Linked DNA regions of Mus musculus: all the other regions are reported to be linked to region 1. The links are microRNA targets in miRTarBase. Many come from high-throughput screens and were not tested one by one. Region 1 holds a microRNA gene; each other region holds the end of a gene's coding sequence. Distances are between the middles of the regions.
The links. The annotated mature microRNA mmu-miR-709 reads GGAGGCAGAGGCAGGAGGA and lies in region 1 at 1,347-1,365, shown strand. An mRNA with a match to its seed (bases 2 to 7 or 8) in the 3' UTR can be bound and repressed. Matches are read on the target gene's strand: a 7mer-m8 pairs with bases 2 to 8, a 7mer-A1 pairs with bases 2 to 7 and ends in A, and an 8mer does both.

Region 2: the mRNA of Il17rd is a reported target of mmu-miR-709. The part of its 3' UTR that is shown has no 7-base or 8-base seed match.
Region 3: miRTarBase lists Afap1 as a target of mmu-miR-709. Seed matches in the 3' UTR shown: 7mer-m8 at 2,919-2,925, 7mer-m8 at 2,925-2,931, 7mer-m8 at 3,166-3,172 and 8mer at 3,214-3,221.
Region 4: miRTarBase lists Slc25a42 as a target of mmu-miR-709. Seed matches in the 3' UTR shown: 7mer-m8 at 2,122-2,128 and 7mer-m8 at 2,116-2,122.
Region 5: the mRNA of Dpy19l1 is a reported target of mmu-miR-709. The part of its 3' UTR that is shown has no 7-base or 8-base seed match.
Region 6: the mRNA of Sf3a1 is a reported target of mmu-miR-709. Seed matches in the 3' UTR shown: 7mer-m8 at 2,323-2,329.
Region 7: miRTarBase lists Dqx1 as a target of mmu-miR-709. Seed matches in the 3' UTR shown: 7mer-m8 at 1,291-1,297 and 7mer-m8 at 1,297-1,303.

The regions. Positions count from the first base shown.
Region 1 is chr8:84,084,821-84,088,820 of GRCm38, forward strand. It overlaps Mir709 (microRNA 709), which reads left to right and starts at 1,279; the gene lies at 1,279-1,366. Rfx1 (regulatory factor X, 1 (influences HLA class II expression)) reads left to right here. Exons shown (of 21, transcript NM_009055.4): 8 at 753-847; 9 at 2,886-3,252.
Region 2 is chr14:27,100,639-27,104,714 of GRCm38, reverse strand. Il17rd (interleukin 17 receptor D) reads right to left here. Exons shown (of 13, transcript NM_134437.3): 13 at 1-3,438. The coding sequence ends at 3,329. Among named protein-coding and RNA genes, the nearest start is that of Il17rd, 64 kb to the right of the region's middle.
Region 3 is chr5:35,999,389-36,003,464 of GRCm38, forward strand. Afap1 (actin filament associated protein 1) reads left to right here. Exons shown (of 17, transcript NM_027373.2): 17 at 311-4,076. The coding sequence ends at 337. Among named protein-coding and RNA genes, the nearest start is that of Gm52811, 84 kb to the right of the region's middle.
Region 4 is chr8:70,182,997-70,187,072 of GRCm38, forward strand. Slc25a42 (solute carrier family 25, member 42) reads right to left here. Exons shown (of 8, transcript NM_001007570.2): 8 at 1,344-3,780. The coding sequence ends at 3,473. Tmem161a (transmembrane protein 161A) reads left to right here. Exons shown (of 12, transcript NM_145597.4): 12 at 1-685. Among named protein-coding and RNA genes, the nearest start is that of Tmem161a, 13 kb to the left of the region's middle.
Region 5 is chr9:24,410,472-24,414,547 of GRCm38, reverse strand. It overlaps Dpy19l1 (dpy-19-like 1 (C. elegans)), which reads left to right. Exons shown (of 23, transcript NM_001359948.1): 22 at 125-310; 23 at 1,562-2,770. The coding sequence ends at 281. Among named protein-coding and RNA genes, the nearest start is that of Dpy19l1, 91 kb to the left of the region's middle.
Region 6 is chr11:4,179,672-4,183,747 of GRCm38, reverse strand. It overlaps Sf3a1 (splicing factor 3a, subunit 1), which reads right to left. Exons shown (of 16, transcript NM_026175.5): 16 at 1,207-3,714. The coding sequence ends at 3,613. Among named protein-coding and RNA genes, the nearest start is that of Tbc1d10a, 5.1 kb to the left of the region's middle.
Region 7 is chr6:83,065,850-83,069,925 of GRCm38, forward strand. Dqx1 (DEAQ RNA-dependent ATPase) reads left to right here. Exons shown (of 12, transcript NM_033606.3): 11 at 241-431; 12 at 584-1,370. The coding sequence ends at 743. Tlx2 (T cell leukemia, homeobox 2) reads right to left here. Exons shown (of 3, transcript NM_009392.2): 1 at 3,831-4,076; 2 at 3,205-3,442; 3 at 2,476-3,125. The coding sequence ends at 2,909. Among named protein-coding and RNA genes, the nearest start is that of Tlx2, 2.3 kb to the right of the region's middle.

The DNA.
Region 1 (4,000 bases):
GCCCGAGCCAGCCCCGACCTGAGGGTCAGGATCCACAGAATGCCCCAGGTGCTAGTGTTCGGCACCGCCCTCAAAGTAGGTGGCGGCGGACAGCGGAGGCACGGCAGGGGGCGGAGGGCGGGCAGGGGAAGGGCATTCAGCCCAGCAAGCCGCTTTGCCTCGCCTTCAAGTCCAGGCTCCCAGGCTTCGCCCCTGCAACCCAAGGCGGGTGGGGTGAGATGTCTTTACCCTGTCCCCCAAAGTGCTGCCAGTCATTCTTGTTCTGCCTCAGGGACTGGGTCCCAGACACGGCTCCTGCAAACCAGGGTTGGGGGTGGAGGTAGGCTATCCAGTACCTGCCCCTAAGGTGTTGTCAGTTGTTTCTAGTTGTTCTATCAACTGATCCCTCTTCAGGCTCCACCCCTAATCTGCTTGGGAAACCTTTTTGGTTTCCAGAAAACCCCCAGGCCCGGTTTTTAGATTGCAAACCCACCTCTCAAGCCCATTGCAGAATTCTGTCTGGTATCCCCTCCTTTGCTCATAAGCCTTAGAAACCTCTTTGCCAAAGCAGAGAATCCCAGCACCTCCTGTTTTCCAGCCACAACTGAGACCTGGCCCCACCTAAGCCTCCTACCTAAGCCTCCCACCTCTGGCCCATGTTGTTCAGAAAACCATGATGTGCAACCTTCTAGATGGGGATGTATGTGGGCATCAGTGAACCCGTGGGTGGTGGTCAGCCCTGACCCATGACCCTGCTTTTCCTCCTGCTTCAGGTACAGCAACTCCCTCAGGTGCCTGTCCCACACGTGTATTCCAGCCAGGTGCAGTACGTGGAAGGTGGCGATGCCAGCTACACAGCCAGCGCCATGTAAGTGGGCAGAGGGTGGAAGGAGGGCTCAGATGTGGTTAGGGCCACAATTCTAACTCCCAGCTGGCCCCCAAGGCTCAGGTGATAGCCCCACACCTGTGGGGTGCCAGGAATATAGGCAGCTGGTAGCAGAAGAGACACTGGCCCATTGGGAAGGCACCTCCACAAATTAGGAGCTGTGCAGTTAGATGGATCTGGATTTTAGGCAGGAAAAGGGGAAAGAAAAAGCATACATATATGTATTTATACATACATTTTTACAACATAAACTTTTTTTGAGACAATGTCTCTCTGTATAGCCCTCACTGCCCTGGAACTTGATCTGTAGACCAGGGTAGCCTTGAACTCAGAGATTTGCCTGACACTTCCTCTCTCGTGCTGGAACCACAGGTTCTCAATCTGACCCTCAGTGTCCCACAGAGTAATTAGTGTGTCCCGTTTCTCTGCTTCTACTCAGAAGTGCTCTGAGCATAGAACTGTCCTGTTTGAGCAGCACTGGGGAGGCAGAGGCAGGAGGATTGTCTTTTGTTATATTGACTTATGTGTGGGGAGAGTGCATGTGCTGTGGTGCAGGTGGAGATCAGAGAACAACCTAGAGGAGTCCGTTTTCTCTCTCCTTTACACAGGTTGCAGGGGCAAATCCAGTTCCTCGGGCTTGCATATTCTGTCTTACAATTTTTCTTGGGGGTTAGGGAGATAAATCAGTAAATGGCTTGCTTCTTGCTTATCAGACCTGAGAAGCAAGGTCATGACCTGAGGTCAGAACTCAAGTACTAGGTAAGAGGTTCATGTGGTGAGTCTCTGACCCCAGAGCCACCTTGCTGGCCCTCGTGTGTGTGTGTGTGTGTGTGTGTGTGTGTGTGTGTGTGTGTGTGTGTGTGTGTGTGTGTGTGTATACACATGTGTTCGAGTGTGTGCATGGGATGATGGGGGGGGGTTGTATGCACCATGTATTGAGCGTAGTGCCAATGCTAACACTGGAGTCTGTTTGCTGTGTGGCTTTGGGGATCAACCCCAGGTCTTCGGTCTTGATGGCAAACATCCCCACCCACTGAGCCACCTGCAAGGCTCAAGTTTTCCTGCTTTAATCACTGTCACATTGGGAGGGCTCAAAGAGCAAAAGTGAGAGGTGGCCCTGCCTGTCCCCTCCCCACAGAGAGCCTTCTGCCTACACACAGGGTGGTCTTTTCCTCATCCCAACCTCTCGTTTCTGGCTGTCCATCGGTACCCAGTGGAGGACTCAAGGCAATCATGTTGCGTCTCCTCTTCCTGCCTCACCCCCTCTAGTCTGCAGCCTGCAGAGATGGGCCCAAATGTTAGGGTGGCTTGCTTGCTACAGTTGCCCCTCTTAGATCTGCGGCTTATTACCCTATGCGGCACTCAGGACATATTCTGAGTTGGAGGGGCAGCTCCCTGCCAGGAAGAGGTAGCCAAGGCGGCCCCTCTGCCTACCCTGCAGTCCTTTGTACTTTGCCTTCCCTCCTGTATCTCCCTTCCCTGGACTGAGAACTGTTTGTCGTTGTTGCCGAGGAAGTACGTTCTGCATTCTGGACCCTGTCTTGTTTTCTCCTCTTCTGCAGTAAGGAAATTGATTCCTGTGCTGGAGTGCAGTGGTTCAGTACCAGTGAGTGCTGTGGCTCAGTACCAGTGAGGAGAGTGATTCCTGTGCTGGAGTGCTGTGGCTCAGTGCCCAGCGAGGGCTGGTTCAATGGCTCAGCAGTGCTTGCTGCCGGGCTTTACAGTCTGAGTTCAGTCTCCAGGACCCACAGTGGAAGGAGAGCCCCGCCTCCCACAAGTTGTCTCTGACCTTTGTGTGTATGCCACGGAACACATGTGCCCCTCTCCAAGTAATAAGTTAATATAAAGACATGTTTTAGAAAACAAGAAAGTGGTTGCCCATCCAGTGCTCAGGCTGTCCCCAGTCCCTTATATGTGAAGGTGCCACACTGGTGTTTCTGTGGCTTCTCTGGTCCTCTCCTGGAACCCCTGCCTCCTTGTACAAGGTGGTGACCATTGCTTCCTGTCTGCTTCTTGGCAGCCGCTCTAGCACCTACCAGTACCCGGAGACGCCTATCTACACGCAGACGGCAGGCACCAGCTACTATGAGGCTTCGGGCACGGCTGCCCAGGTCAGCACGCCGGCTACTTCCCAGACGGTGGCCAGCAGCGGCTCAGTGCCCATGTATGTGTCCGGCAGCCCAATTGTCGCCAGCTCATCCAGCAGCGAGGCTGGGGCCAGCAACAGCAGTGTGGGTGCAGGGGGCAATGGGGGAGGCGGCAGCAGTGGTGGTGGCAGTGGCGGCAGCAGCGGCAGCGGAGCAGGCACCTACGTGATCCAAGGCGGCTACATGCTAGGCAATGCCAGCCAGTCTTACTCCCACACCACCCGTGCCTCACCAGCCACAGTAAGTGTTCGCCTTATTCAGAGGTGAGGGTGGGGGGAACACTCGAGAAAAAAACCTGGCAGTACTCAGAGAGCAGAAGTTTGGCCCAAGGCATAGCTCAGTGATAGTGCTCATATGACCTAGGGCCTGGTCTCATCTGTGGTGTTGCCTTAGGTGTTGCTCAGCCACTCTGTACCTCAGCTGCTATGTGAAGCTCTGAGGACAGTTGCAGAAATGCCCTTAGTCAGAACTGGTGGTGGCTTGATAGGAAATGAGAGATGGGAGCTCCTACAATCACAGTGGCAGAGCTGAAGTCAGCCCAAGTTGGGCCCATTATCAGTCAGGACCATGGATCAGGTCAGAACACTGCACCCTCCACATGGCAGCACACCCTGGCTGCTGGTCTTCACTAGTTTAGTCTATTTAATAAACCACTGCTGCAAACCTTCTGATTTCTCAACCCTGTGGGTCCTCTGGTGCAGCGAGCAGGTCTGCTGAGAAGGTGCACGTTGTTTGTGCCTGGACTAGACGCCTCTCACCTCGGTTACTGTTGCACCCAGGTGGCTAAGGTCCCTGAGGATCTGTGTTGTGGGCTTTTCCTTTTTCAGTTTTATTTGAAAGACTTATAGGCTCACAGGAAGCTATAAATATGGTACCAAACCCTGGTTGGGTGGCACGTGCTTGTGTGACCCCGGCACTGGGGAGGCAGAAGCATGAGTGGGTGTGAGGCTCCAGAGTTCCGAGCTGGTGAGGGGTACCCAGCGTAGCC
Region 2 (4,076 bases), not on the chromosome of region 1:
AGCCACTGGGCAAAATTAGATCTATCTACATGTTCTATTGGTCCTGGGTTCATTTAAGTAGTTTCCAAAGCTTAATTGCTAATATTTAGCTTTTGTTGTTGTTTGTTGTTGTTGTTGCATGTGGTTTTGGTGTTGCACTCGTGCACACCCACGTACACACACACACACACACACCCCGGTATCTGTGAGCATCACAGCCAGCATGAGGAAGCCAAAGAAGACAACTTTGGGACAGGGTTGCTTCACGCCTTCCACTGTGGGTACGTTGTCTGGGTTTGTTTCAGAAATGCTTGTACTTTCTGAGCTGTCTTGCCAGCGCTAGGCATTGACAGCTTCAAAATGAGACATCCTCAGCTTTTCTTGAAAACCAAGAAGCCCAGGAAACACTGCTGAAGGCTGGACAAGGGTGCCTTGGTTTGCCCCAGTCGGTGCCACGCCCTGATGTCTCTCTTCAAGGTGCTATGTTACTGTTTTCCTTATGCCGGGGTATACAGGTGCCCCAGAAAACACAAACTTTGCCAATTACCAGCAGCCATGCCCAGTGATGGAAGATTTTTAAAAAGACTAGAAATCTCCACGTTGGCATTGCCTACCTTTCCCCAGTACCAGCGGAGTGTTCTCTTGTGTCGGGGTAGCTAGGGACTTCCTATTTCCCTTTCTGTCTGGAGTGAGGGTGTGTCATTTTGGCTCCAGGAATAACACAGCTTCCCTCTTCCTCTGAAAAGCTCCTGCAACCCCACACTTTTGGGGGAACAGCTTCCTATTTAGTTACTTATATAAAGTCAGAGGACCTACCACTAAAGGTTGTCAAGAAAATTAGCAACATGAGCCACAATGGCTGGGTAGGTCTGCGCTTCAAGGGCAGGTGAGCTACATTTCTGACTCACCTCTGGGCCAGATGCATGAGAAGCACCTGTAGGGCACGCATAAACACAGGTCAACAACTTTCTTTCTTGGTTTCCTGGTACCCTAGCCCCCCTCACACCCGTCTCACCTTTGCCCCCCTCCCCCGCAAAGGACCTGGTCTATTTCCCCACAAACCATTCACTCTCAGCCCCAACCCCATCTCCCGTTAGCATCAAAAAGCTTGTGCCTTGTCAGAACTGGCACCTTGCCTTAATCTGCAAGGCCATTCTCATTCCTGGCTCAACGATGAGGTGTATGGGAAAGAGGCTGGCTAATACTATGGCTCCGCCCACTATCTGCTCCTTCAGGGCTAAGAAACCATCACCTGGCACGTTAGAATCTGGCTCTCTCTTCTGATCAAAAACACTTGTATGTCAAAATAAAGTCACCCAATGGCTAAACACAAACAAAACTTCACCTGACTCTGACTTTTTGGACTAGCAAGCTAGATGGCTCACAGGGCTGCCCTCCAGTTTCCTCATCTGAGTTCATGCATCGAGCCTGGGCCTGGGATCCAGTGAAGCTAAGCCCTCCTCCACCCAGGGCCCCATGCTGCTCCTGGGCACTCTCAGGGACCCCACACTCCACATGCAAAGCTCAGTATCTATCCGAAATGTGGTTTCTAATGGCTCTTTGGGGGGGGGGATAAAATATTTCTTGGCCTCAATTTAAAAAGAGAAAAACATTCTCTGATGATGTTCCCAGGGAACGGTCATACATTAGCAATTTAGGCCCACCAATCTCCCTCACAGAATGAATGCCAAGACTGAGCACGGCCAGGAGAGCCTCATGGAGGTGGGAGCTCTGTCTGCTCAGTCTGGATTCCACAGTGATAATATGGCGTGAACTCCTCTGCAGAGATGCCTGGTTTTACTGCGAGACCAGCTCACAGCTTGCCCAGAGCAGCTGCTCTGTTCTCTGCTAGAGAACATGTGGAGCACGCTCTCCTGAGAAGCTGCCAGCTGCCTGTGCAGAGCAGGGAGAAGGGTGTTTCCATCCAAAATGCACACAAACCGCTTCTTCTCAGCAGGAACTAAGGGCTCCCTTCCCCCACCCCCCACCCCACTGCAAAGGTGCCTAGAAGGGAAATCCCCGGCTCATCTCACCTCCACACCTGACCTTGGGATCTTTCTCAGCAACCCCCTTAATGCTGGTCCAATCTGGTGGAGTAGTAAGAAAAATCAATGGTTCGTAACAGAATGCTGAGAAGATAGGCTGCCAAAATCCAACAGCACCCATGCTAACAGTGGAGAAGGATGCTCAAACCAAGTGAGCCAGAGCAAGGGATAAAGGTTTCTAAGGGGGAGACAGACTCATCGTTATATACATCTAATTAAGGTACAGGATAGGAAGAGATGGTTTACCTTTGGAAACAGAATTTCTGTACAAGATTCATTCATAAAAATAGAACATTTACTTTTGTAACAATCCCCTCCTTTCTGCCTTCTGAAAAGGAGGTTTGTCACTTGTCAAAACCAGCAGATTAACTGGCCACCGTCTCCCGTACACTGACGAGTATTAGTGGATTCTGACCTCTAAAATTCAAGACACGGCACCAGCCAAAATACAAACCACGATTCTAATAATGTTGCTGCCCAGCTGAGTAATGGATAGCAGTCCTCCACGTCCAGCCGTCACCACCCGAGCTACAGAGCAGTAAATGTAGCCCAGGGAGAAACTAAACAGATGGCTAAGGCTCCCATGAGATGGCTACCTCGATGCAGGGAAAACGCCCAGGTCCTGACAACGTCTGCACATTAATCAGCCAGTTTCACGTAGGACAAACAAGATGGTCCAGCCCCACAGGATTCTGTCCTGGTTGGTCATGTTTCCCAGTAAGAGAGAGAGAGCTGTTTTACAAAACGTGACTGGATGAATGTTCAATCATTGTCTGGACCTTGGACTCAAGGTTTACTTAACACTCAGGACAGTGTAAGTTCCACATCAAAATGGACAGAAACATGACCTGCAGCGCAGCCTGGGTCCCAGCAGTACTTGACATGGGTAAGTAAGCTGTAAGGATGCCGAGAGGGCTTTTCCACAAAGCATTTTGAGTTTAAGTAGCCAGAGTTCAAGTGAAGCCAGAGCAGGCTGTGTGGGAGCTTTCCTATTTCTCGTTACCTGTTTCCACTCTACCCCTCTCAGAGCAGGCTCAGATCCAAGGATCAGTCTGAGATGGACAGCTGCAGTCAGATCTAATGGACATGCCTTTCAGGGTTCCATATGCTTTTGGGAAACTGGAGACTTTGCTAAGTATCCCTTAGAAGGCTGGAGCAGAACAGATCGAGTGCTAGCCAGAATTTCATTCCAGATATCCCCGTGTGCGCCTTCAGCTCCAAGTAGGCTGCACAACCACAGAGGTGAACTGGGGAGCCAGAGAGATCAGCAGCTAAAGTGGCGATGCTTAGACTCTTCCGAGTCCTTACAAAGGAGCAAGCGCTTGCAGTTCGTCAGTGTGGCTGTGGCAACCATGTTCTCTGGACACCCCAGAGGCAAGGAGCTTGGAAGGGAGGGTAGGGGGGTCCTCCTCACCTAAGGAGAGAAGAAAGGACAGAGCCACAATCAGTACACTTTACTGACCCAGACCCCCAGTGCCACCACATGGCTGGGATTCGCTCTTGTGTGTTGCACAAATGAGGCAGGCATCGGAACCAGCTCAGAGTAATACTCTCAACCTCTTACCAGAGGAAGAGAGATCCCTCCGTTAGAGCCAAAGTTTTACATGTGTGACTCCAAGAACTTATAGGTGTGGTGGATTCCTGAGGCTCTCTGGGGAAGAGCCCTCCTTCCCGGAGCACTGTGTGAAGCTAGCACTGAGAAGAATACAGTGTTCATGAACATACGGTTTAATAGACATCTGGGCTTCAAAGGCGGTGGAAAGATAAAAGGCAGCAAACACTTCAGCTCCCAGAAGGGCACAATCCCACAGACCCTTATCCAACACATGCATTTAGTATTCCAATCTTTTCAGAGTTAGGAGACTGCCAACCCTACTGACAACTGGAGCTTAACCCTCGAGACCCCATGGTGGGAGGGGCTCTACTCCCAAAAGGTATCCTTCTATCTGCATGTGCCTGCACGTGCCACACCCAGCCCCTATTCCCATGTGTGTACACACACAGAAAATAAACATTAATTTTTTAAAAGGCGATTCCACACCCAACAGCATA
Region 3 (4,076 bases), not on the chromosome of region 1:
TGTGAACTTGACTGCCTCGGGCTTCCATGTTAATAGACTCAGAGGATATGTAGTCCTTACTCACATGATATCCCAGCAGTCAGCTCTCCCTTCCCGGTTCTGCCTGCTAAGTGTCCCATGTCTGGAGGGGCCACACTTAACCTACTTACTCCTGTTGGGTATTTGGATTGGGTTTCTCTCTGGCTGGCTACTACATTCTGTTCTCTGTGGCTGAGCCCGGACATTGTGTAGCTCTCAAAGGCTCATGGGCCATAGCAACTCGTGGTAGCCAGGATCAAACTGTCTGCGTTCACACATCTCTCTTCTCCAGGAGTGGGAGCTGAAGAATGGGACATAGAGGGAGCCCAGCCACGCCCAGAGACTGTGTACTGCCACCAGCCTCGCGTGTGACACGTGTGCCTCCCAGAGTGGCCTGAACATGACCACAGAAGTTTGGACGAGTCTGACGCTGACCCTTGGCTGGCTTGCGTGCACGCTTTCTACTGTATGACGGTGCCCTTTAGGAAAGTTTACTTTAAAACTTTGGTGTCCAAATTTACTTGTTAAGAAGCAGAAATGAAAGGGGTTGACAAGCTGTTTTGAGGTGCCCTCTAGCAGATGGGGCGGTTCTGGGGATCTCAGCTCAGCTCCAGCCCATGGACCGTGCACCCCTGTGAGACAGGGTGGCCTGAGCCTTCCCCGTGTGCGGTCAGAGCTGCGTACCTCACCCTGTTTGCCAGAGGGTCCTACTCTGCAGCAGCATGAGCTCCTGTGTCTCTGCACACCCCGCCCCCTCCCGCCTGTCCCCTGTCAATGGAGGTGAAGCCATGAGAAATAGGGCTGTGAAGATTCAGTTTTGGTTTTGGACAAAAATCTTTTGTCACCAGGATAGAGAAGTTGTCATTCTTTTTACCAGTGTTTTTTCATGTTTGCTTTTAAAGAAAATGCCTCTCCCCTCCTCCTTTTTTTTTTTTTTTCTTTTTTTTTCTTCATGTGCTATGCTTGGACATTAGGGACTTTTCAGAGACCCTGTTTCCTCCCAGTTTATGATGTACTTTGAGAGTCAGCACAGAGCTTTCAGTCGTTGGGTAGCATGTGCCCCTTTCTCCTGGCCTGAGACCCCAGCTTCCTGGGTTGCCGGGCAGGAACTCCTCAGCCCAGGAAGCACATTGGCCACCATCTGCCTGTGGATTTAACAGAGTGGGGTCTAGAACCTATAGTTTAACCTGGGCCATCTTTGAACAGAGACGATCCTTCCAGAGCACCTTCCTCCAGTTACAGTTGAAGCTGTGCATCATGGATGCACTCCCATGCTGAGGTTCGGATTGTGCGGGCCCTCCCACTCTCCTGCGCTCACCCCTGTGCACTTGGTAGGACAGTTCAGCTGCTTAGGATGTGCTGTCTACAGCTCATGGGGCTAGCCTCTACCCTAGGGGGTTGAGTGTCAAACTGGCGTTTTGGACTTCCCTGTAACAGTCCAAACCTTTCCACCATGGGTAGATGCAGGCAGTGACCTGGAAGTTAGGCATCTCTGCAGACTTGTACAGGACCAGTTATACATGGGTGAGAACCTGGTGATGCTGTACCAAGGGCACGCCTTCCCATCACAGCCCAGAATGTCCTTAGCACACACATAAGGAGTCTCCCAGGCTCTCCGTAGTGGTGCCTTTAGGGTCTTCTCTGGGCAGCCTTCATGGCCATGATTGATGCTCTGTGCTTGAGCCCTGAAGCAGCTACCTTGGAGTCACCAAAGAGCAGCAAGGTGGCCACCAGGGTATAGGGACATCACAGTGTACATGGAAGCTGCTTAGCTGAAAGTCTGTCCCAGACTAGCCCAGTGTAAGACACTTGCCAGCTGTCTAATGGTGCTTTGCTCTAGTGCCTTCCTCCAAAGGGCAGTTAGGATTCCTCATACCAGCATCTGTGTGGGCTAGTTTCTGCCAGGAAACTGTGTAGGACCAGGATGAGGGATGCAGCCTCCACACACGCCAGCCTGTTCATGGAGCCCCTTGGGTCATCACAGGGAGCTGTGACCATTCCATGCTCTGAAAGGGAAGAGACGTTAATGTGCCGTAGACTTCTGCTGCTTTGGGTCTCAGAGCAGTGCTTTTGGCCACTCTGATAGCAGCCTGCTTTGCCAGGAAAGCTGTTCCAGGCTTTGATTGTTACCAAAACAAGGAGAAAATGTCCAGTTTAACAGCCAACCCTGGCCAGCATAGAGGGACACAGTGAAGTATCATGTCCAGCAAATAAGCCTCAGATGAGTTTATCCTGATGAAGACACAGCAGGTTCTAGGCTCCTGGTGTTCCTAATTTGTGCTGAAAAACCCAGCCTTGTCATCCATTCAACTGTGGAGGAACTGTAAGTTCCTCAGCGCCATATAAAGTAGGTCCCGGGGAAGGTAAGGCTCCCAACACAGGGCTCCAACATCCTGGGCTCCCATTAATGTTCTTAGATTTGGTCAGAAAGCTAGTTGAGAGAGCATTTGTTTCAAAATAAGTTATTTATTTGTATATGTTCAATAAATAGAGTTTTAATTTATATATGTACATATTAGGCACCCATGATCCTGTCAGGATTCTCAGTGTTCTCATTCTATGACCCTCCCAAAGCCACTAGCATGACCCCAGCCATCGATGACACAGGTTTGCCTTGTGTGGAGCCCGGTAAGCAGAGGGCTGAACCCTTTTTGTGAGCAATCAGGTCCTCTGGATCATGGGAGTTGCTCCTCCTCTCTTTGTCTGAGGCCACAATGTTTCTAGGGGTCTACTTTTTGTTACAATTTGGCAAGTTGTCATCAGCTTTCACAAACCCCTCTACTTTTTTTTTATTTATTTATCCCCCCACCCCACACACACACAAAGGGTTTCTCTGTGTAGTCCCGGCTGTCCTGGAACTCACTCTGTAGACCAAGCTAGCCTCAAACTCAAAAATCCGCCTGCCTCTGCCTCCCAAGTGCTGGGATTAAAGGCGTGCACCACCACCGTCAGGCAAACCCCTCTACTTTTATGCCCGTTTACTAACTAACCATTTGCTTACAAATATCCTGCTGGCCTGGGGACTTGCTATGGTCCCTATCTTGGGCATGGGGGTGGGACCCTCAGTGTCACACAATCTCATTTACCAGTGTTCTTGCAATGATGAGCTTGGGTCACATGGACTCTTCCAGAATGCTTGCTGCTCCCCTGCCTCGTGTGTCAGTGTCCAGTCCCTTCCCCATGCATGCCTTGGTCCTGCCTCACCCACCCTTCCTCCTCATCTGTCCACTACCCCAATTTTGGCTGTTTCTGTGTCCGCATGTCCATGCTGATGGGACTTTTAGAAAATCTGCTTTGGAAAGCAATGTCCCAGGCCCTGAGGCCATGGAGGAAGGTTTCTGCTATGTGGGGGACTGCAGTTCCCAGGTAGAATTCACCAGCAGGCAGCAGCAGGGGTGTCTCTGGCCTCTCCTCCCAAAGGCCAGGGACAGCCTCCCCTGTCACTGACCTCCACCCTGTGCTCTGGGGATACTTGAGCCAAGTCATTTACATCTACTCTCACCAGCACCTGCAAGGTCCATTCTATGGGTGAGGCAACATCAAAATGAGTGATCTTCCTCTCCATTTTTCTTTTCTAAAGTAATTTTGAGTCAGAAACATTTCAAATTCATGACATAGTTTTTATAGAAGCAATTGAATGTCTGGGTCTTCTTCCCACTGACTTACTACTAGTCACACCAGAGAGCTGGGTTTCTACTGTGAAATAAACTGAAAATAACCCCCCTGTGCTGTACGCACACCGCCCAGCCCCATGGCCATGGTCCTGGCGTGGGAAGCCCACTCCTCAGTTTTGAGGAATACCCTTTGCCAGTAGGGGGGGACACACCACTGTGGTCTCTGGAAACCTGGGTTTCCCACACGCCAGATTGGATTAGCCTTTCAAAGTGGTGTCTTTAGTTCATAATTCATAGGGACCAAAGCTGTTTTTAATATGATAATTGATTTTCTAACAAAGGTTTACTCTACATTCTAACACCAGTTTTTTGTTTTTTTTTTTTACATTCTAGATATTCCAAATCAATTGCTCGTGGCTCTAAGTTGTAAAATGTTTTCACGTT
Region 4 (4,076 bases), 14 Mb from region 1:
CACAGGTGCTGTGTATGATACAATAGGTCCATGTGTGAGAGCAGGGATCAGAGGACAACTTAGCATGTAGATCCTAGCCTTCTACTATGAGACAGGGTCTCTTGTTTACCTGAGTCCCTCAGGTCAGCTGTCCAACAGGCTCCAGGGAGTCTCTGGTTTCTGCTTCCCACCTTGCTTGTAGGAGTGCTAGGATTATAGACTAGTGCTGCTGTCCCACTTTATGTGGGCTCTGGGGACTTGAACTCAGGTCTTCATGACTGCAGCAAATATGGCTGACGTGTGTGTTATGAATCAACAGGATGTCCTTGAAGGGCTATCTGGAGTCCCTGCCTCCCAAACTGACCCTGACAAGGGCTGCAGGACCTTGTGGAAGTCTCATGGGAATCAGGGATGCCCATGCTCTGCTGTGGATTTCAGAGTGTAGGGGCACACGACGTACAGGGCCCCACCTCCTTCAGCTACATGGCTCAGGGCTGACTGGGCCTGAGCTGTGTTTCAGAGCAAGGTCCTTAGGCTTCTGGCCGATGCCCATTTGCTGAGCATGATGGAGTATAGCTGATGACTCCAGAGGTAGTTGGGCCAGCCAGTGCTATGCAAGAACTAGAAGCCAGCATGGATTATATTTCTCAGATATTAAATAAATCCGAGCCATGTTGTTGGCAGATTTAGCTACATGGTTACTGTATTCCTGGATCCTTATCTTTTTTGTACTGGCAAAAAAACCCCAGGGTCTTTTGTATAGTAAGTGCTCCACCCTTGAGCCACGCCCCCAGCCCCTCACTGGGGGATTCTAGGCTGGGACTCTACTGCCCCAGTCTAATGTTCCATCTTTGGCCATCAATTTCATCCCCAGTAGCCTGTGTCACATTTACATCTATGAACAGAAAGTTGCACAGAGCACTTGGACAACACACCTGCAATCCTCAGCTCTCTTTCACAAGGATGGGGGGGGGGGCTGGAGAGATGGCTCAGAGTGAAGAGCACCGGCTGCTCCTGCTGATGATCCAGTTGTGCGAGCACCCCATGTGATCATCTGTAAGTCTAGACTAAGGATCTGCTGGCCTCCTCCGGCACTAGGCCTGCACAGTTATGCAAAGCACCCATACACAAAATGCCTTTTTAAAGTAGCAAATAGTGGCCATGCAGTGGTGCTGTACACCTCTAACCCCAGCACCCGGGAGGCAGAGCAGAGAGGCTAGCCTGGTCTACAGAGCAAGTTCCAGGACAGCCAGGGCTACACCGAGAAACCTTATCTAGAAAAATTAAAAACAAAAGTGCTAAGTAGCTTGACCCCGTTCATAGAGTGGGAGGTGGAGCCAGAGTTGAAGAAGTAAGAAGCAGGAGATATTTAAAATTTTATTAAATATACTCTGTTGGCACAAATCTTCAAAATATATAAACATTATATATAAACAAAGTGTCTTTATGGCATCAAAATAGAACTCCAGACTGGACAGTGACCACGGAGGAGGGCAGCCACAGAGCTACTGGACAGTGACCATGGGGGAGGGCAGCCACAGAGCTACTGGGGGGATATGGGGAAGCAAGAAGATCAGGGACCCAGGACACCCTCACTTCTCCTGCCCTGCTGGTTGCCTGATGCAGGGCTCAAGCCAACCATCTACATGGTGCAACCTGCTGAGGTGACCCAGGAGCCTCAGTCACCTCCGGCCTCCTGGTAAGGGATGCCTAGACTCTCCATCCCAGGTGGGGAAGGGAGTGGCAGTACACTCACGAGAGGACAGTCCCTCTCAGCCACCAGAGGCTGCCGGGGGGGGGGGGTGTCTGGGGACATGGTGGGGATGGCCCATCACTATCCGCGGAGGCTGAGAGATGGCCAAGCGTCACAGGCACAAGGTAAGAAATATAGAATGAACAAAGACTGCAGCAAGAATTGCAAATGCCCAGGGCTCGAGCCACCCTGCTCAGGTCCTGCATGTGAGATGGCTGCCATCCAGCTGTGGGAATCAACACCCAGATCACCTCTGAGCCAGAGCCACATTGCATAGGAAGGGTAGGGGTTTTATGTGCAGACCTGGGGCAGGATAAGTTGAAAACTAGAAACTAAAGGTAGGTGGGGCAGTGGTGGCGCACGCCTTTAATCCCAGCACTTGGGAGGCAGAGGCAGGTAGATTTCTGAGTTTGAGGCCAGCCTGGTCTACAGAGTGAGTTCCAGGACAGCCAGGGCTATACAGAAACCCTGTCTCGGGAAAATAAAATGAGAGAGAGAGAGAGAGACAGAGAGAGAGAGACAGAGACAGAGAGAGAGACAGAGACAGAGAGAGAGAGAGAGACAGAGAGAGAGAGAGAGAGAGAGAGAGAGAGAGAGAGAGAGAGAGAGAGAGAGAGAGAGAGAGAGAGGAAGGAAGGGAGAGAAAGAAAAAAAAAGAAAAGAAAAGAGAGTAAAGGCAGGAGGGCTGCTCTAAGTTGAAGGCTAGCCCAGATAACACTCAGAAGCAGGACAGCCAGGGCTTCTGGCTAGGACTGTCTCAAAGACCCTAAATCAAGAACCCCAGACACCAGGAAAGGCAAGAGTTTCCTGTGACACCTAGGGAACCCAGTGTGTGGGGGGGTTCTCCTTGTGTCAGCTGGCTGGTGGTCCCTGGATACCCCAGCCTTTCCCTGCTCCCCAGGTCATGGATACATCTGTACTCATTCACACAGGAAAAGCCACCCACCCATCTTTGGGCTTCATGTGGCCTGGCTAGATGACAGCCACAGAAGGCAGTTTCAAGAGCTTGAGCCCTACCTCCATGGATGCTGTGCATATAAGAAGCTTTGGGCCTGCATTCGGCCTGATTGGTGTACTTTGGAAGACACCCCAGATCAGTGATACCCACATGGGCATTTCCAGTGGGGTCTGAACTTGACACCCCTGTCTGGTGGCCATAGGGCCTCCTGGAAAGGTACAAGCCAGGTAGTTGGCAATGGTCAGGTGCAGCCCTCGGAAATAGGATGGGCACAGTGCTCTGGGGAGAAAGCTATGTGGGCAAGAGCAGCCATTTGTCACCTGGGAGAGGATAGGCAGGCATGGTGGAGGATTGAGGAACACAGGTATAGCCACCACTGAGCAAACTGTGACCCTCCAGTGTGTGGCTTAAAAGGAATTGCTATCACATCTGCAGGCCAGGCACGGTCATAGCAAGAAGGGATGGGCTCTGAGCCCCGGGTGCCAATGGGCACTAGATCAGCAGCAGGTCAGAGGACACAGGGCCAGGAAGTGCAATTGACCCATTAGGGGCCTTTGGGTAACACCTCAGGAGACTCACCAGCCAATAGCAAGGAACTGAAGGGAGGGGACAGCCAAGATCCATCATCACAATGTCACACCCTGAGGACCAGCACTTCGCTATGGGCCCTACAGCCCCAAGTCAGGTCCCGTCCTCCTGCCCACCCTCAAGGTACCACAGGGCTGCGAGCACACAGCTGCATGCCCCTGCTCGAACAGCTCACCATCCACTGTTGTGTTAGCCTAGCTCTGCAGCCGGCGCAGCAGGATCTGCATGAGGTCGAAAGTGGTGAAGCTGATCCCCACGGCAATTGGGCCCTTCAGCCAGTTCATGCTCAGGCCCTTGTAGAGGCCCCGCACCGCGCCCTCCTCACGTACAATGGAGCGTAGTGTGCTCAGGATGGAGCCGTGCTGGTGGCCCGTGACACCTGCTGTCTGCATGCGCCGCCGCACCACGTCCAGAGGGTAGGAGGCCGATTGCCCGATAAGGCCAGCACAGGCCCCGAAGACCATGCGCTCAAAGGGGTAGGGCTGCGGGCGGCCACTGTACTCTGCAGGGCAGAGGGCACATGAGTGCCACACTTGAAGAAACTAAGGCCCCGCTTCCTGGCCACCCTTTCTTAGTTTTGATGCTGGGAATGGGACCCACATCCTAGCCTAACACAACACACACTTTGCAGCAGTGAGACTTACACGGTGGCCCAGGCTATCTATGTAGTAGTTTCCCCTCACCTATTGGGTACAGGTCCCCATTCTGCAGTTTTCAGTGCCCCATCATCTGTGGGGATGAATCCCAAGATTCTCCATGGATGCCTGGACCCTTAGAGTACAGGGCTACACAGACAGT
Region 5 (4,076 bases), not on the chromosome of region 1:
TGACTTAAGAGCTATGCTGATTAATGGAAGTAGGAAAAGGGTGATGAGACAAGAAGTATAGACACTGCTGTGCTATCTCCACTTGGATAATGTGCATTGACCTTAAACTGTGCTACTTCCCTAGGCCTGGATGCAGCATGCCTGAAATCTGGGATGTAGAGGATCCAGACAACGCTGGGAAAACTCCCCTGTGCAACATCTTGGTGAAGGATTCCAAGCCTCACTTTACCACAGTGTTCCAGAACAGTGTTTACAAAGTCCTAGAAGTTCTCAGACAGTGACTGCACGTGCATCTGCCAGAGACGCACCAGTAATGGCTTTACTGCTTTGCCACTAACTCAGAGCGCAAACCTTTAGAAAGTCTTTGAAAGTAACTGTTTCGAATGGCAAACATTTGATTTGGTCAGTTTGTCAGTCTGACTGTAAAATGGCTTACATCAGATCGATTAGTTACTGTTTCACTGCACCTGTTAAAATTTGCTATGCAAATGAGTATATGTGTGTACTTGGTTTAAATATTTGTGTTATGGTGAACAAAGCCATCTGTTTAGAAATACATCATGGGTCATGACAGATGATATGAAACTACAGTCACTTCTGGACTGATAGGGGCCTGTTAGCACCTTGCTTCCTATTTACCTCCTGATCTTATCTTTGAACACTGTCTCAGCTCTCAGTCCAGGCGTGGTTGGCCTGTGGGTCACCTGTTCACCTCGCTTCCGGGTGCTCCTTTTGTTGTTTGTTGCTCTCGTGAATCAAGTGTTTCCTGCCTGTTGTTACCCAGACTCCTGGGTATGGTGGCGAGGACCAGTTCCTTAAGTTTCCAGCTATGTGCTGTGTGTTTCTCCCCACGCAGGCTGGTTTCTTTTCCACATAAATACTGTCTTGTCTTTAGGTTGATTAGCAAGTGCTTATTCTTGGTTAAAAAATTAGTAATTGTGTATTTTTCTCATTTTTAGTATTAATCAAATATTATATTTTAATACCTTTAATTCATTTAAAAAATTTTATGATTAATTACGCTGTTAGGAAAAACTATTTTGGACAAACTCAAATATGATGCATCTATAGCTTGATATATATGTACATATGGAGAGAGGGGGGAGAGAGAGAGAGAGAGAGACATAGCTTGTGGTGGACTGTAGTCTTTGCTAATTTTACCTTCACTATTAGAATAAAATAAAACCTAAGTAACCTCTGTTAATGTAAATGAGATGAATAGAGTCTTTTATTTTGCTTTCAAAATTGCCTATCTTTAATAAGACAAAGCCTTAAGCCTTATAATTTTGCCTCAAAAAAAAAAAAATTCAGTGTGTAGAGTGAGTATGCTCTCAGTCTTTCCCATTTTTTTCTTGTTTTTTTTTTTTGAAAAATTCCTAAACTTGCTTTGAATTTCTTATACAAATTTTGTTTCTTGAAAGTTAATTTGTGTGAAATGAGATACTTCAAAACTATAATCTTCATTGTTGCAAGTAATGGTTTTGAGGTTTTAAATTCTAAGTAAACTGTGACCATGGCTGACTACCCATTTTTTATACAGTCTTCTCTTTATTAACCACAGGCAGATTAACCTCAGTGTGGATTGTCCTTGAGACCTGAACCCTCAGGGATGGCTTCCGGTGCCCACTCCAGTCCTGACAGCCACGGAAGGAAGAGCTGTTCTTTCTGCCTTCTTCCCAGAGCCGAAGGACAAGCTTGTCTGGGGGACATTGGTCACCTGCAAAGACAGCACTTGCAACTGAGGAGTGTGGCCTCAGTAAGGAGCCAGCCTCACCAGCCAGGGCCTCCCTCCCTGAAGCTGCCCGGGGACTGCCATTCCCACTGTTGCAGACTGTGGCCAGGCTTCCTCATCTGATGCTTAGTTTTAGTTCCCAAGCTTTTACGAACTCCGAAAATAGGGGAGCAACTGGAGGTCATGGTTTAGGGGTGTTTGAGTGATAGTGTGGCAATGCAGGGCAATGTAAAGAAAGGGGCAGGCATGGGAGTGAGGGACACATGCCCTGCCTGCTCCGCAGCTCTTCTGCAGCCCAATATGGCTGCTGTGTGGATACAGCAGTTAGGGTTTTTTTTTTTTATCACCCTTTAAAAGTTATTTTCTGTCCTTACCCTCTAACAATTCCCTTCATAATAAGTTCACATGTAATGATTGGAAATTCTGTACAGAGAAACAAAACATTAAAATACTGTTAGAGCCAGTTCACATGCTGGGAAACATTAAAAGTAGTCTAAATTAGGTTTTTTTGCAGAAACCTTTTGTAACAAACAGTATGTCGTAATGTAACTCCAGCAGCAAGCTTTGCTTGTATTTAGTCAAGTCAGCTTGGAAATGCGGCCTTGGGGCCCACTGCATTCTCAGTCCAGCACATCTAGTAGCAGTGTGGCGGAAACACTTTTATGGCAACATGGAGCAGTATTAGATTTTATGTAGCTGACAATGCAGTATTAAAGCTCAGTATTTTGCATATTTTTAGCATTTACAAATATTTTTGCTTTAGTGTGAGAAAAGGAAAGAAAGACAGAAGGCAGTTGAATAGTTATTATTGTGACATTAAACAAAAAATAAGCTGGGTAATATGTCCATTAAAAGCTAAACCTCTAAAATGCCTGTCAGAGTGTGTGCTGTTCTGGTAGGCCAGCAGCATGGATGAGAAGACAAAAGGATGTGTCTGAGCTAAAGCGATCCTGCACAGGAGTGTTGTATTTTTATGAATTTTATGCCCCTTGTTTACATGTACTATATATGTTAAATAAAAAAAAAAAACATGAAAAATGTGCCATGTGTTTTCTGCCTGCTACTGTTCTCTGCACCCATCTGTGGCTGCGCACATTCCCATCTGTAGTCAGACGGCCGTGAGCTGATCGACATCCTCTTGCAGTCTTCGCTAAAATGGGGAAAGGTAACAACCTGGGGCCCATTGTTGATGGTAGGGGCTCGAATCATCCAAAATGGTATGGTATTTATGGTCAAAGCCACACGTTCCTTTGTCCTTTTCATCAAGGGACATATGTATTGGTATAATTACAGAGTTGCTAACAGCTTTTCTCATACATTACACCAAAGACCATTTGTTGTAAAAGATTCCCCAAGTTATAGTACATTTATTTGTGCATTATTGCTTTTGCTGTTTAGGGAAGGCAGTTTAGCTGTGTTCACCCATATAGAAACTAACTTACTTTTTTCTTTTGTTTTGTTGTCATTGTTGTTAGATTTGTTTGTTCATTTGTTTGTTTTTCAACATGGTTTCTCTATGCATAGCTCTGGCACTAATCTGTAGACCAGTCTGGCCTGGAACTCAGCAGTTTGACTGCCTTAGTCTGATGGGATTAAAGCCATGTGTTACCACCGCCCATCGTAGAACTGACTTTCTGACAAAGCTGCACTTTGCTTCTGACATCTTTGGAGAATGGTGCTCTGATATGCTAATTCACAAGCTAGTGGCCATAAGAAGTACCCATAAAACCTGGAAATTTGCCAAGCTTCTCACTTGGCTGATCTAGATGGGGACCCCAAGATTTACATTTTTATTAGTGTAGTTATGTATGATGGGCTTCATTATGACATTTTCATACCTGAATATGTTTGGGTCAGTTTCACCCCTCCATTGCCTTCTCTTGTCCCCTCCCACTCTCACTGATCACCTTCCTATTCCCGAAGACCCCTCTTATTTTTTGTCTTATTTGTATCTGTGCCCGTGTGTGTGTGTGTGTGTGTGTCCCAGCAGATTTACTTAGGGTTGTTACAGGTTTGCATGTTGTTGCAGGTTACATGGGTGAGGGCTTGATTACAGAGTAGGGAGAGTTTATCAGCTGCTAAAGGCTGAAGAAAGTATCCCTCTGGCAGCCTATTAACTGCCTGTTGATCTTCAAGGATGGGTGGGGCCCTTCCCCTAGCAATTGCTAATTGCTTATAAGTAATAATCTGGGAGAGGTGTGTCCTGTGAGCCCTCGCACCCCACCCCATGACATACTGTTGGTGGGTCCAGTCATGTGTGAGTTTTATCAGTGATGACAACTGCCAAAAGTTGAAGATGGCAGCAACCTTGCTAGGTCCTGAAGATTGTGTTCCACATTGTACC
Region 6 (4,076 bases), not on the chromosome of region 1:
TTTTTTTTTTTTTCTTCCTGAACCAGGGCCTGTTACTTGGGCTGCCTTCCAACTCCTGGGCTCAAACAATTGCCCTGCTTAATCACATTCAAAGAGCTGGAACTAGCATGCCCAGCTTCTTTTAGACTATTTCCTCATCAGTAAAATGAAATACTAGGAAAAAAAAAAACAAACTTTATTTTGAGATTTTAGTGTGACATGTTCTTAAGCACTTGATACTTGGTAATTCCCAGTAAACAGTGGGCACAGGTAATAAGTGTTCACAACTTCCAAGTTCATGTTTGTCTTGTTCCCCACCATAGCCTACAGGGATAGCAGTGGAGTTAACAGTTTCAACCATGGCACACTTTCACGGCTGTCCTAAATTAGTATGTGTCCTTGTGCAAAGTCATTGAAAGAATAGAGATGTCAGTTATTTGCTTCTTAAGCCTCGAAACAAGAAAGGCACATTTGGTGTGTGTCAGGGTACATGTGTGTACACAGGTGCATATGGGTGTGTGAAAAGCCACGAAATGGCAAGGTCTCCCTCAATTACACTCCACCTTATTCTCTGAACTAGTCTTTCAATGAACTCAGCAATTCAGCTCCCGGGATCTTTGTGTCTCTGTCCCCCAGTGCTGAGGTAACATACGGTGTGATGTGACTCCATTTTGTATGGTGTAGGCCCCCTAATTCAAGTTCACATGCTTATTTGGTAAGCATTCTCACAACTGAAGTATCTCTCTACTTCTCAATGCTAATTTCTTTAAACTCCAGAACACTTCTAAAGTTTTTTTTTTTCTTTCCCCTATGTATGTGTATATTATGTGTTGTGACCCACCTGACATGGATGCTGGGAACTAAGGTCCTCTGAAAGCAACAATCTATCAGCACTGTTTGTAGTCAACGGAGCTCATCATGATATGGCTGTTGTACCTATGGATTCATAGCACCAGGCCTGCCTGCAGGAAACTGGACTTAACATCATGGACGGGAGATGATAGTGGGGTAACCCTAAGGTACTACCCTCCTTGAAGACCTACAGGTAGGTAACAGATGCTGGGAAGAGGAAGGTATATTCTTTAGTGGTATAGCCATTAGTTAGCCTTGATCAAATAAACAACCCTAATTAGATGCAGTGGGACACACACACCACACAGACACAAACATGAGGAAACTTGTTGGAAAGAAGTGTTTGCTAGGAAAAGATGAGGATAATGGAGGGCGTATGACCAAAGTAATTTATACATAATACATATAAAAATGATACTTATTTTTTAATAGAACAACTTATTTTTATAAAAATGTTAAAACTTACATTTGGATAAGCACTTTTTAAACTTACAAGACTGTAGGACATGCAGTGCTAGAAAACAATCTTGGTCTGTGGCCACCAAAGGTCACAAGGCTCTGTGGTCAATGAGCCTCCAAGTGAATGTGAGTCAGGACAGGCACTCATTCAGGAATTCTGGGAACTGTTAGCTCCCGAGCCTGGATCAAAGGGCCCATTCACTTGCATTCTACCCAGTCACATTCTTGGTCTCATGTCACAGCCTCAGCCATAGAGGCACTGTGGGGTTTGCCAATCTATAGAGGCATATGCCCTGACATAATGCCATGTCCTTAATACCAAAAAGGAGCTCTTAGGCATGGATTCTCTGAGACTTCCTGATGCTCCTCCCATACAACAGTACCCCCTCCTCCTCCTGGAAATCCCTCCAGGGGATTTCTGGTGCTACCCAACTAGTCTCTAGCACAGTGTGCTTGTTTCAGGCTCCTAAACCAGAAAAGCACACCAACAAACCAAATTTTGCACTAGTTCCTAGGCCAAGTCACACAGGGGTACAGACTAGCATGACATCAATGATCTTAAATGTGCGCCTAACAATGTGTAATGGAGCCAAGTGACTGGTGCTGTAGAGGCCTCGGCTGAGAAAGGAAAAGGTGGAGGGGCTGGGAGTTAGAATACTGCTTCTGGACTGGGAACTCTGAAGCTTTCAGCACATGCAGTCCTCCAAAAAGAAACCAGCTTTGTTTACAGCTTATCAACACACTCTCCACTCTCCCCTCCCTCTGAATACACACAGCAACACCACCCATGCCTCCACAAGACCACAACTCCAAAAATAATAACCCACATCAGGACAGCAGTTAGTGACCAAGAGCGAGGCACATGTTTTGGATTTACTCTTCATCTCTGAGCCATGGGATGGAGGGCATGTGACTTGCCCTAAGTACCTCGAACAAGAATAATCACACAAGGACTCCACAGGTGCTACACAAGTGCTTCAACAGGAAGCAGTGTCAAGCTTGCCGGTCCATGCCTTTAATTCCAGCACTTGGGAGGCAGAAGCAGGCTGACCTCAATGTGTTCAAAACCAGCCTAACCTATATAGCAAGTTCCAGTGGAGCTATAACAAAACCAAAGAAAAACAAAAATACCAAATACAACACAGTAGTAGTAAACTAGATACAAGGCCCTTAGGTCAGTATGTGGATTTGGCATAATTAACCACACACATAGTAATGAACGGCCTTTGCCCACCCTAGAGCAAACCACTAAAACTGCTATGCCTATCAAGTGATGGGCGATTTGAGGTATGGAAAAAGCTACTGATCCTTGTTCTATGGCTACTGCATGGTGGAGGGTCCTGAAGCTTTACAAATATAAAACGTACAAATATAGAACGTGCGTATCTCTATAAAGCCATGCTGCGGCAAACACATGGAGACCAGAAGACAGCCATAGGTGTTCACCCTTGCCTTCCAGGTCTTTCTCATTCACTGGCCTGCTAGGATGACTCTGCCTGTCTTGTCTCCTAGTGCACAGGGTAGCAGTGGCTTGTTCTAGTGGCTCTTACATCAGTTCTTGCACCGTAAGCACTGTACTCACCAAGGCATCTCCCCAGCCACGATGCTTTAGAAGTACTTGAAAGGCACGATGGCAGCAAAAACATATTATAAGCATCAAGACTGCAGAGACCCCAAAGCTCAGCGATCCATTTGTTTCCCTATTAATTGACTTGGAATTTCACCCTTGTCCTTAGGAGAGTTGTTGTGCACTAGCTATCCCTGCATAGGTAAGAATGGCAGAGCTTTCTAAGCCAGTCTGTGGATGGCAGGGACAAACTGCTTCCATGAAGGTCCAAGAAGTGTTCGGTTTTTAATTAAAAACAAAAAAAAAACCCACCAAAAACAACAACAACAACAAAAAACCAAAACACAGTATCTCACACAGCCCAGTCTGGCCTCAAGCTATACAGCCGAGGTGAACATTGAACATTTAATTCTTCTGCCCACACATCCCAAGTCCCAGGATCACAGGCATGCATGTACTATGCCTGGCTTCAAGAAACCAAAGCATGATACAAAATGATGAATGGCATTAACCATATTCTATTAACTAAGCATCACTCGATAGTGTGAAACTGTCCTGTGGGACAACCCTGGGTATTCAACTTCTAATGGACTTCCTTGAAGGACCTCCAATCCAGAATTGAAACAAGATATTCATTCCGTAGACTGGCTTTGAGGGAAACAAATGCCCAGGCTGTGCCTGAGGCCCCAGGGACACTCCTGGAATTGGTGGTGCAAAGAGGTACAATGGCAAGGTTTCAATTGCAGTATCTCTTGCTACTTCTTCCTGCCGCCTCTCTCCTTGAGGGCCAAGTGGATGACAGCACCACTGGCCATGTTGTAGTAAGCCAGGGAGTTGGAATCCTTGATGAAGATGCCCTGGAAGACAGACAAATGTCTTAATGGACACCACCTGTCTTTGACCACATGCAGCCTCACACAACTGAGCTTACTGCTATTCTAGACTTCACTACTATGGAAGCTTAAGGGAAGGTCAGCGAAGTATGGAACTTTGGCTTCTTCTAGAACATCTCTTTTTCCTTCCTTCTTTCTAACAGATGCAAAGTAAGGAACTTTGTCAACATTTGGTTTAGTTTTCAACTTCCCAAACATTAGCCATGACCAAACTAAAAGGCACAGCTGACTTCTCAGGTCAAAAGACCTTTAGTGATTATCTTTTTCAACACCCTATTTCACACAGGAAGAGAGGAAGCCCCAGAAAACCTGAATACCCCTTTGCA
Region 7 (4,076 bases), not on the chromosome of region 1:
CTCCTTTCGCAGCCCCTTCTCTTTCCTTCTTTCTTTTTAAAGGCAGCAAACAATGAGACAAGGTCTCATGTTGTCCAAGCTGGCTTCAGACTCTCTAAATACCTCAGGCTGGCCTCTAACTTCTGCTCCTCTGGCTCCCAGATGCTGGGATTCCTGCCACGCCCAACCTTGGCCTTCTTTATTTTCTGTGCTCCATTGCTTATTTTACTTATTCCACCCATGTTTTTGTGTTTCAATGAGGTGGCCCGAGACACAGATGGGACAGGAAATTATCTGCTTCTCACCCATAAACACGTAGCCCAGCTGTCTCCATACTGCAGCTACCGAAACCGCAGGACTCCAGCCCAGCCACCCACGTGGGTGCTGTACCACAGCTTCTCCATCTCGAAAGACAACTGCCTTTGCATTGTCTCTGAGATCCAGCCTGAGATGTGAGTTTCCCTCACTCATACAGGGCCCTTCTTCTCCCAGGGCCAGGAACCAAACTGGGGAGTGAGATGTAGGAAGAGGGTTGGTGGAAGCAGGGCGGGGAGTGAGGGGCAGGGGAAGGCACAGATGATCCCATCCTGACTTTCTCTGTCAGGCTGGTGGAGCTCGCCCCTCCATACTTCCTGAGTAACTTGCCCCCCAGTGAGAGCAGAGACCTCTTGAACCAGCTGAGAGAAGGAACAGCAGAGCCACCAGCAGCAGCGACTGAAACTTCCTCTCCCCAGGAGTATGGAGATGGCTGTGTTCTGCAGTGAGCTAACTGCCTAAGGAATGGAGCCAAACCTCATCAGAGAGCGCCAAGGCAGTCAGACTTAGAGACCCAAAGTGTAGGGTCAGATATACTCCTGGAACCCAAGAGCCAAGAACTGTTAGGAGTGGGGGAAGAGAGCGCCACAGTTCAGAACAAGCATACTTTTCTTCTCTGTCCATGGACATGGGAGCAGATGCCACTCACCCCACCCATGCGGCGCCTCACACAACCTTGTCTCCTTGGTGAGACTATAAAAGACTTTGGTGGGGGGTGGAGAGATGGCTCAGGGGTTAAGAGCACTCACTGACTGCTCTTCCAGAGGTCATGAGTTCAATTCCCAGCAACCACATGGTGGCTCATGACCATCTGTAATTGGATCCAGTACCCTCTTCTGGTGTGTCAGCTACAGTGTGCTCATATACATTAAATAAATAAATCTTTTTTTTTTTTTTTTTTTTTTTTGGTTTTACGAGACAGGGTTTCTCTGTGTAGCCCTGGCTGTCCTGGAACTCACTCTGTAGACCAGGTTAGCCTCGAACTCAGAAATTCACCTGCCTCTGCCTCCCAAGTGCTGGGATTAAAGGCATGTGCCACCATGCCCATCTAAATAAATCTTTTTTTTAAAAAATGATTTTTCTATGATGCCAAGTTTGATTTTTAGTTCTGTAGTGCCATATACAACATCCATGAGTCAGAGGTGACACAAAAGGAAAGGCCGACTTCTGCAGGTGCAGCCTCCTGCCTGCCTCCGCCCAAGCCTCTGTGCTGCTATATCTGTCCCTAGCACAGAGCATCCGTGACCTGGCTACCACAGGTCTGTGTCCCGTCACAGTGTTCTAGCCTCTGCCAGGAACAAGAGGGGGACAGTGGAGTGAGGCGAAATCTCCCTGTTAAGCCAGAGAGCTTTGTAACCATCCTCCACTTAACCAAAAGCCTGCGCCCTCTGACTCACCTACAGTCTGCAGTCTCTCTAATTTTTCATTATAGTTTGTGTGTGTGTGTGTACACCCACAACACATGTGCAGTGGTCAGAGGATAGTTTGTAGAAATCAGTTTTCTTCCACAAACTTGCCCCTAGGGCTCAAACTCAGATTGTCAGGATTACTGCAAGTGCCATCTCCTAAGAACATTCCAACTTAAAGCCGCCATCCTTCACTTCTCCCTAACTCTTTCCCTTCTGCCCTTAGTCTACTCGAATTTCTGAATCCACCACCATCCTGCACATCATAAATGTGTTTGTAGAATACTGTGGAAAGAAAGGCTCAATCCATGTAACTCCCCAGAGTTCCCTGTGCCTTCCCGCCTTTACCAGGAGATCTTAGACCCAAAATTTCATCTGTCTCCACCCCCTGTGATGTCATGGAGATTCCCCCAAAGGCAGGCATTAGCATTTTTTTCTCTCTCTCTAAATCTAACATTAGTTTTGCCTACTGTTAATCTTGCCCCCAGTTTCCCCTTCCTGGCCTACACATCTCCAGTCTTAAGGTCATCTTTGGTTCTTCTTAGGTTTGCTAGTCCCAAAGCATGTCTCTTGCTCACTCTAACACTGGGCCCATGAATTCTCCACCGGCTCCCCATCTTGGCTCTCTGACCCTGCATGGCACGGGAGTCAGGTTCTCTTTCTAGAGTGTATCTTCTGGGTATATAAGAATCTATCTTACCTATAGCATAAGTGCGTTAAAACTCAAGATGGAGAGTCCGCAGATTGGGCAGGAGACAACTGGAGACTGAGGCTAGAAGGAATCCTTAGTTATTGTTTTACAGATGAGGGACGAGGTCCCTGTCACAGTAGGCCACATTCTCTACTGCCAGCGCCTCTTCCATTACCCCTCCCCCGCTGTCCTTTGATATCTGCCTTTACACCAGCTCTGTGGTCCCTTCCCAGCAGGACCTGAGCTCTGAGCCCACTCAGGGCAAAGTCGCAGCCTTGCAGGGTCCCTGCTTCATCCACAATCCTGCAGGTTGCTCTTGCAACCCACATCTCAGCGGGGTTTTTTTTTTTAAACAAAACAAAACAAAACCTTGAAGGGCGGAGTCAGAGTGTGGGCCAGGGGCCACTGATGACCAAAGAGCCTCAGAGGACGGCCGCGGGCCGCGGGCCTTCTGCTCCTCACTCTTCGCTGGCGGTACGGCACCCGGCCACGTTGGCGCTCGTCGGGCAGGTGTCGGTCACACCACCGAGGCGAGCCCGGACACCGAAGCCACCTTGTTGTCTTCCGCCCAGGGCTGCAGATTCTGCAGCGCGAAGAGCGACGAGTTGTGCAGGCAAAGCGGGTCCGGTGGCAGCGGTGGCCGCAGCGGCCGGGGCAGCGCGTCTTGCTGCAGGTGCAGCAGCAGGCGACCAGCGCGGTGCCGCTCGGCCTCGCGCTCCTCCGCGGTCTGGCGCCTGGGCGAGCGGAGAGCCGGGGTCAGCGGGCGTCCCGGTCCTACCCCGCCACTCGGCCCGCCCGCGCCCCGCGCCTCACCGCCACTTGGTGCGTCGGTTCTGGAACCAGGTCTTGACCTGCGCGTCCGTCATGCGCAGGGCCTTGGCCAGCGCCGCCCTCTCTGCGGAGGCCAGGTACTTCTGGCGCAAGAAGCGGCGCTCCAGCTCCAGCACCTGCGAGCGGGAAAAGGAGGTGCGCGGCTTCTTGCGCTTCGGGGGGGTCCGGTTTTGGTAGGGATGGCCTATGCGACGTGTCCCAGAGAAGGGCGAGAGCGCAGCTACGGGACGGAAGAGCAGGGCAATGTTTGGGGGTAGTCCGAGGTGAGACTGAGAAGAGAGTCCCTAGTCCTTATCGGGGTTCCTCCCCCAACCACAGAAGCCTCATCAAGAAAGGGCTTAGGAAGAATCGGGGTCCTCCCAAACTTCACCCTGCCCCTCCTCGCCGTAGGCACGGTGGGACTGCAGAGGCAGGGGTGCATGCACCCGACGACAGCAGCTCTCTCCTTACTGCCTCTCTGCTGTGGGACCGAGAACTGTGGGGTCGGGGAGGGTCCACGCGGATGAACAGAGGGGAGAGATAACCGGGCAATGGGGTTGGAGCAGAAAATGGAGAAGCAAAGAAATGGGGTCGCGGGGGAAGGACACCGAGGGGTAGGGCAATCTCACCCGTGAGCCTGTCCTTTGCAAAGCGGCGGCCGCTGTCCATCCAGGGGAAGGTGAGTCCCGCTAGGCCCCCGGCGCCACCCAAACCAGAGGGTCCGGGCACGGCGGGGGCCGCACCCGAGGGTGGCGGCACGGGCAGCGGGCGGTGCGCGGGGACGCGGATCACGCCGCCGGGGCCCACTCCCGAGCCTCTAGGCAAGGAGGCCAGCGAGCCGGCTGGAGCATAGCCCGAGGCTCCGTGGAATCCAC